Mus musculus: one gene and its partner. The main gene of each other region encodes a partner of the protein of the gene in region 2 in a complex. Links are inferred from orthologs where the notes say so. Each region holds a gene or a part of one and is shown on either strand. Other genes may lie near its edges.

Region 1 (3,649 bases), on a different chromosome or scaffold from region 2:
CAGAATGATCCTTCCTCAGCTTGCTACCCTCATCATGTCTCACCCTCTCAGTACCCACAGAATGAAGTAACAAGACGTGCCTGTTCTAGCTTGCTTGCTTTCTGTTGCTGTGACCAACACCACAGCCAAAGCAACGTGGCAAGGAGGAGGAGGAAGCATCTTGCTTATACTTCCAGGTCACAACTCATCACTGAGGGAAGCTGGGGCAAGAACTGAAGCAAAAACCATAGATGACTAGACCAGGCCAGACTGAAAGAACAGCGTCACCTCCATTTCAGGACCAGGCCTGGCTTCAAAAGGAAAGACATCTATCTGTCTCAGGAACTAGGTTATAAGTCACCAGCTCCATAAAATTCCCCCATCCAAAGACAGCCTGGAGATAACCACAAGAACAGGGAAATATCTCAGGTTGACCATCTATGCTGGGCAGCCTTGTATGGTTTAGGTATCTCATCCTGTGGCTAAACGTTCATGACAGAGAAATGCAGACCACAGACCACCTGGCACAAGCCAATCAGAAAACAACCCATGGAGCATCCTCATCACCCATCAATGAAACCTTAGATTACCTAACCAACTCTCTAAGGTCTCACCAAATATAGAAGAACATAGCAGCCGACCAAAATTCTACTAATGTCACCACTTTGGCCCTACCAATCACATTAGAAATTACCTAATCCTTCTGGAAAATTCCTCTAGCCCTACATTAAAAAGGGCCAGGAGCTCCTATGGACTGGCCATTTTGGTGAATGGTTGACCCCTATGCATACTGGTTATTTCTGCAGAATAAACACTCTTTGTCTTTGCATACTATTTGAATCTGGAGTCTTCCTTCAGCAATTTTCAGACCCTAACAAGACCACGACTTGCCAACTGATTCCCTCACTTTCCTAATTTCTTATTCAGCCCAAGCCCACGGTAGCTCTCCTACATGAATTAGCATTCAAGAAAATGCCCCCACCGGCTAATCTGGTGGAAGAAATTCAAATTCGCCAGGCAGTGGTGGTGCATGCCTTTAATCCCAGCACTTGGGAGCCAGAGACAGGTGTATTTCTGAGTTCGAGGACAGCCTGGTCTATAGAATGAGTTCCAGGACAGCCAGGGCTACACAGAGAAATCCTGTCTCAAAACAACAACAAGAAGAAAGAAAGAAAGAAAGAGAGAGAGAGAGAGAGAGAGAGAGAGAGAGAGAGAGAGAGAGAGAGATTCAAATTCAATTCCAGGTATCACAAATTGACAACTAAGTGTCTTCTTGCTCCTGGCAAGACACTCCCCCTGATGATCTGATTCAGTTATTCATAGACCTTTCTTTCAGCCATAAACCACATGGGTATAAATAGTAGATTTCCTGGTCATTCTCCTGATAAGCACCTAGTGCTGTTCAGATCGCGTTCCTCCTCTAAGCAGAAAACTCGAGCAGGTGAAAAGCTGCCTTACTCCCCACTACGTCTGGCACAATGCCTGGCATGGACATCACAGTATGCGTGATAAATGCACATGTGCAATAATATACTATAAAAACACTTGTTCTCACTAAACTATGTATGTGTTTACAGAGTTTGTTCCAGAGAGCCAAAACGGTTCTTTCCCTATTGAATTTAAGGATTGCATATTTCACAAAATTATTTTACACACGTGTATTTCTTTTTTTTGGGGGGGGGGGTTGGGTTTTTCGAGACAGAGTTTCTCTGTGTAGCCCTGGCTGTCCTGGCACTCACTTTGTAGACCAAGCTGGCCTCGAACTCAGAAATGTGCCTGCCTCTGCCTCCCCAGTGCTGGGATTAAAGGCGTGTGCCACCACGCCCGGCGCACATGTATTTCTTTTTTCTTTTTTGTGATCTTGGTAGTTTTTATTGTTTATTATTATTATTATTATTATTATTATTATTATTATTATTATTTCTTTCATTTATTTACATTCTAGTCCCTCCCACTCCCTTACACATGTATTTCTAAGAAGTTTTGATGCTTTCAAATTCCAACTGTAAAATATATAGATACAGATTATTATCCACTGATTGAAACATAGACAGATATAGAGCTATACATGTAAATAGAGTTATGCCAGTGGGGCCTCCTTCACAGGCAGAACACCAGTTAAGAATTTGGTTAGCGGGGCTGGGGCAGTGGCTCAGCAGTTAAGAGCACTGGCTGTTGGAGAGGACTTGGATTTGAATCCCAGTACCTATAGAACAGCTCAGAACCTTCTCCCAGGGGATCTGGCACCCTCTTCTGGCCTCCACTGGCACTGCAGATGTATGGTACACAGACATAGAGACATACTGGCAAAATATCCATACACATAAAATAAAGGTTTAAAAAAATTTTTTTTTGATTATTAGCACCTGCACTTTTGGCCTTTTTAACATAAAGGAAACTATTATTTACAAACCAATCCCATACACACTAGACATTATCAACACAAAAACCAATCTGTCCTGGGATCTTGATACTTACATCAGATAACATTGGCTCATCAAGTTCTTCCACCCGGCTCAAGTTAGGCGCCCCGTACCGATCGCTGATCTCCGCTAGGGTTTTACCCGAGTCCATCACCAATTCCTACAGTCACAAAATTCAGTTTCTACTTTCACATGGCTTCAATATGAGCATGCCCCTTTTCTTTCAATTTTGAAATAAAATTTCTGAGTTAAGCACTTAAGACTCATCACTTTTAGTTGGTAGAATTCACGTCTACTACTGCCAGCTAATGGTATGAGAATTCTAGTATGAAGCACTAAAAACTATTTTTAAATCCACTTGGAATTTTAATACACATAATTTGTAAGCAATTCTATGGGCAACATAACAGGACATTGTAGCTTTAAAATATTCCAGTACAAACAGAATGTCCAAATTGTATTCACTTTGAAATTTGTTTCAAGACACTGCACACCTGTGCCTTATCACCAAAATATCCATCTGGGCTGTCACTTCCATAGGTTTTTTGTTTGTTTGTTTGTTTGTTTTTGTTTTTTGGTTTTGCTTTTGTTTTATTAAGGCAGGGTCTCACTATATAGCTTTAGGCATGCCTGGAAGGAATCACAACTTACCAGCCTGAGGCACTGTGATCACATATGTATGCCACCATGCCCATTCTGGTATTGACAGTGCCCTTATTAAAACTTTAGCCACTTGTGATGGTTTGTATATGCTTGACCTGGGGAGAGGCACTATTAGAAGGTGTAGCCTTGTTGGACTTGGTGTGTCACTGTGGGTATGGGCTTTGAGACCTTCATTCTAACTGCCTGGAAGCCAGTATTCTGCTTTCAGATAAAGATATAGAACTCTCAGCTCCTCCTGCACCATGCCTGGCTGGATGCTGCCATACACCCACCGTGATGCTAATGGACTGAACCTTGGAACCTGTAAGTCAGCCCCAATTAAATGTTGTCCTTATAATAGTTGCCTTGGTCATGGTGTCTGTTCACAACAGTAAAACCCTAACCAAGACACCACTGATACAAAAAGTAAGATTCTGTTCTAAGATATGTGTTCATGTCCCACGACACACAGTAGGTCTCCCCTCTCACCTCCGCCTGCATGGGCTCCTGCTCCTCACCCCTAGCCGTGCTCTCCATGCTCATCATGCTCTGCATAAAGTCAAGAAAACATTGAATACTGCTCATTTCCTTCCCATGTTTGGTTT
Region 2 (4,416 bases):
TATAGTCCGCACTGGGTGCCAGCCACAGTTGCTCGCCACTGTGTCTCCAGGACTCTCCTGCCCTGCTGCCCCAGCACTGAGATTACACACAGGTGCTGCCGTCACACCTGGCTTTTACATGCTTGCTGGGGATTCAAGCTCATGTCCCTGTACTTGCTCAGCAAACGCTGGGCCACAACCCCACTCCAACTCTGTTTTCTTTATTTTTTCATTCATTTCTTTATTTTTAAGGATTTAATTATTTTATACATGTCAGTACACTGTAGCTGTTTTCAGACACACCAGAAGAGGGCATCAGATCCCATTACAGATGGTTGTGAGCCACCATGTGGTTGCTGGGAATTGAACTCAGGATCTCTGGAAGAGCAGTCAGTGCTCTTACCACTGAGCCATCTCTCCAGCCCCCAGTTTGTTTTTGTTTTTGTTTTTTATTTTAAAACACTTAGAAAAATAGATAATATGATACTATATAAAAAATTTAGCTGGGGGGAGAGAATGGGGGACTTTTGGGATAGCATTGGAAATGTAAATGAGGAAAATACCTAATAAAAAATATTAAAAAAAAAAAAAAACTTAGCTGGAGCCAGGCAGTGGTGGCACACACCACTTTAATCCCAGCACTTGAGAGGCAGAGACAGGCAGATTTCTGAGTTCGAGGCCAGCCTGATCTACAGAGTGAGTTCCAGGACAGCCAGGGCTACACAGAGAAACCCTGTCTCAAAAAAACAAACAACAAAAAATTTAAGACAGTCTCAGGCTGTTGAGATGGCTCAGCATGTAAGACTGCTCTTCCGAAGGTCCTGAGTTCAAATCCCAACAACCACATGGTGACTCACAACCACCCGTAATGAGATCTGACGCCCTCTTCTGGTGTGTCTGAAGACAGCTACAGTGTACCTATTTATAATAATAAATAAATCTTTGGGCTGGAGCAAACAGAGACTGAGTGAACAGAGGTCCTAAATTCTATTCCCAACAACCACATAATGGCTCACATCCATCTGTACAGCTACATTTTATGTATATGTCCTCATATACATAAAATAAATAAATCTTAAAAAAATAAAAGTCTCACTATGTTACCCTGGCTGGCTAGCAACTTGCTATAGAGACCATACTGGCCTTGAACTCAACAGAAACATACATCTCTGCTTCTCAGTGCTGGGATAAAAAGCACCAAACTCAGCTATATTCATACAGTTAAGAGAATAAAAATGTTTTATTCTCTTAAAATTATAGTTCGAATAAAATTCAAACAAAATATTACAAACACTAAGCTCTATTTCATCTATTTATAAACTTGTCTTTTAGTTGGAGACCTTGTCTACTAGAGGACAGTTAAGAATTCTGTGAAGGGGCTGGCAAGATGGCTCAGCGGGTTAGAGCACTGACTGCTCTTCTGAAGGTCCTGAGTTCAAATCCCAACAGCCATATGGTGGCTCACAACCATCTCACATACATACATAAAAAAAAAAAAAAAGAATTCTGTGAAGCCCAAGATCACTGGGAACTCAGATCCTCCAGTCCTACCATGTCTAGGGCTGGGATCATATGTCACTACTTCCAAGGCCTGCATCCATGTATCCCAGGATGGCCTAGGACTCACTATGAAGTCCAAGCTAATCTCTCACTGTCTTCTGGGAGGCCTGACTTCTTTGACTTTGTTTACCAACTACAGAACAAATATTGGTTTTAACTCTAAATGTTCGCTGGCTGTGGCGGTGCTCACCTTTAATTCCAGCACAAGGGAGGAAGAGGCAGGGGGATCTCTGAGTTCCAGGCTACTTAGTGAGTTCCAAGTCAGCCAGGGCTATACGGAGAAATCTTTTCTTGAAAACAAAAACCAAAAGAAAAAAAACAAAACAAAACAAAAATAAACCTACTGACACCAGGAACCAAAATATGCACAGGAATATTGCACATAACCTAGAAGGGATAAGTAGGTTCTCATTTAATGATCCAGAATGTTAGAAACACCCAGGAGAAAGAATGTAGCTAAGCCATTGCCCCTCCCTAGAGCTGACTTGGGAAAGGGAAGGGAAGGGAAGGAAAGGCGGTTGGCTTCTTTGATGTCGTACTCTCCATCCTTTGAAGTGTGAAAAAACTTGTCTGTTACTTGTATCTTGTTTGTTTTTGAGACAGGTCTCCCAGGCTAAACTTGGAAGTCAGTACATAGCTGACCCGCCTCGAGCGCCTGATACCGAGATCACAGGCATGTGTGGAGCACATGCCCAGGTTATATATAACCTTTATATTTAGAAATGTAAACTTAATGTTACTAAGGATCTAATCGGGTGGCTACATTTATATAGGAATAACGGAAAACGAATAAAAGAGACAGCAGACGTTACCTGAATAATGGTGAATCCAGATCCCAGAATAATATCCTGTATCTCCTCTTCTTTGTCAACAACATCTGGCTTGATAAGGGCTAGGGTTTTTTCTACATATATCTGAGGCAGGGGCATTGATACCTCCATTCTGGCGTTTTCCGGTACAATTTTCAAATCTCCTAACCAGTTATCCACAGCAACGACAGGAGTCCTGGTCCCAAAATCAGCCTGTGGCAAAATTTGGTGCTAGATTTGATTAATTTATAAAAACGGAAACTGCTATGTTTTTCTACGAGAGCAGTTTTGCAAGAATCCGACTTGTACTGCACGCAAGGGGAGCCCTAGCCGCTTGACTGAGGTTGGAGGACGGATGGTCAGCGTCGCTCTCAGGGGTAAAGGAAGGCACCTAGCCGGCTGTCCTAGTGAAGGGGCCCCACCCCGTAGGGGCCACTTGGTGCAGGCTTAAGCATGACAGAAAAGATGAGTCCCCGAGCCCTCGGGAAATCTCCACGCAGGACCCTCCCAAGCTTTACTTACTCTGTTCAGGTGTTGTCAAAGCCCGTTGCTAAGAGACCCAAAGCTGGTTTCCTAACGGTGGCTGCAGAGGGCCAATTCCAGCCGCGTTTTAAATGGCTCTAGTTAGTTTTAATCTAGGGCAACAATTAGCCGTGCACATTTTATTCTTTTTGTACTACACACACTTCTAACGTTTCCCACACTAATTTTAAAAACAATTTTATTTACTGTGTAGTGTGTGTGATGTGATGTGATGTGATGTGATGTGATGTGGAGTTAAAACAACTTTGTGAAGTCCTTCCCGTGTTTCTGTGGTTTCCAGGGATGGAAATCAAGTGGTCATCTTTACCCTTTTAGCCTTAGCGCCAGACCTTCTCTAGATGACCTCCTTTCTTGAAGGATGTGTACCTTATCCACACGCTGTAAATGAGATAAATCAGACACCTCTCAGCTATTTACTTTTTCTTTCCTTCCTTTTCTTTTTCTTTTTTTTTTTCTTTCTTTTTCTTTTTTTTTTTGGGTGGTTGTGGTGGTGGTGCTTAGGATCAAATCTAGGCAAGCAATTAACCACTGAGCCACATCAAACACCTTCTGGGCTTCACCACGTGATGCCATCCCCTCTAGTTCCAGCTTCTTTAACCGTTTAGAAACCGCCTTTGCAAGGCCTGGTGGTCTGGTGGTGGAAACCCCTAATCCCAGCACACCATTGGAGGCAGAGGCTGGATGCAATGGGGACTTACAGGAAAGCCTAGGTTTTGATTCTCTGACTCAAAAACCAAGCAAAATCTTTAGTTTGCGAAATATTTATTTATAGAGAAACAAAGGTTCAATCAAATTACTTCTAAGTCTATGCAACAAAAATATGAGCAATATTTACACCATAAATCCAGATCTTGGTACCCCACCCCACCACACCCCACCCCTTTAAAAAATATTCCATCTGCAAGCACCATTGGCTTCTTAGTTAGGAGGCAAGGCATTACTGTCCTTATTTGGAAAGGGAATAGAGAGAGAGGGAGGGAAAGTCTTCACATCGTCTCTGGCCAGTCCTAAGAAGAGCTGTAACTTGAGAAAGAACCAGACTTGTAGTTCCAGGCTAACAAAGTCCCCTTTCTTCATCCACCACATTAGCTGGCACTCATTCCAGACTACTCAAGTCCTTCCTTTTATCCAGCCAAGTACTCAGAACCTACAGGAGCAATGCACAGACAGGAAACCATGAACCTTGAGGGCCAGGAGGAAGTGTATGCAATTGTATTTATTTTATTGGCAAACAGATAAAACTACACCTTTTAAAATTTGATGCTTTCCAAAGAGAAATCCTTACAAGTCTCCTTGAACTCACTCTGTCTTCTCCAAATTATGGGAAATATACATGTACATTAATGTCAACAGTTGCAACAAATGAGACATTGTCAGTGAGTCCAGCACCCGATTTGCTTCTAGCCTTACGACTCGGGCCTCTGAAAGCAGACCTGACCGTAACTAACTCCTCTCCGGCCGTCTTGCTGCTGGCCTTCCCAGACAACCTCACCCCACTGTGTGTTAAATCCGGATCCATTAAGAC

The links.
Region 1: Nme5 (region 2) and Dydc1 share a complex: the UniProt entries of both Homo sapiens proteins name them as parts of the axonemal radial spoke complex. The link is inferred for Mus musculus from reciprocal best matches to the Homo sapiens genes NME5 and DYDC1.

What each region holds. Positions count from the first base shown.
Region 1 is NC_000080.6:41,086,298-41,089,946, reverse strand, and holds part of Dydc1 (DPY30 domain-containing protein 1), read right to left. Parts: intron 3,594-3,649; coding exon 3,534-3,593; intron 2,563-3,533; coding exon 2,458-2,562; intron 1-2,457. UniProt on the Homo sapiens protein: Functions as part of axonemal radial spoke complexes that play an important part in the motility of sperm and cilia. Plays a crucial role during acrosome biogenesis.
Region 2 is NC_000084.6:34,576,207-34,580,622, forward strand, and holds the start of Nme5 (nucleoside diphosphate kinase homolog 5), read right to left. Parts: upstream 2,910-4,416; 5' UTR 2,871-2,909; exon of another isoform or gene 2,562-2,870; 5' UTR 2,481-2,561; coding exon 2,352-2,480; intron 1-2,351. Other genes in the region: Brd8dc (uncharacterized protein LOC271508), read right to left, coding at 3,988-4,038. UniProt on the Homo sapiens protein: Functions as part of axonemal radial spoke complexes that play an important part in the motility of sperm and cilia. Does not seem to have nucleoside diphosphate kinase (NDPK) activity.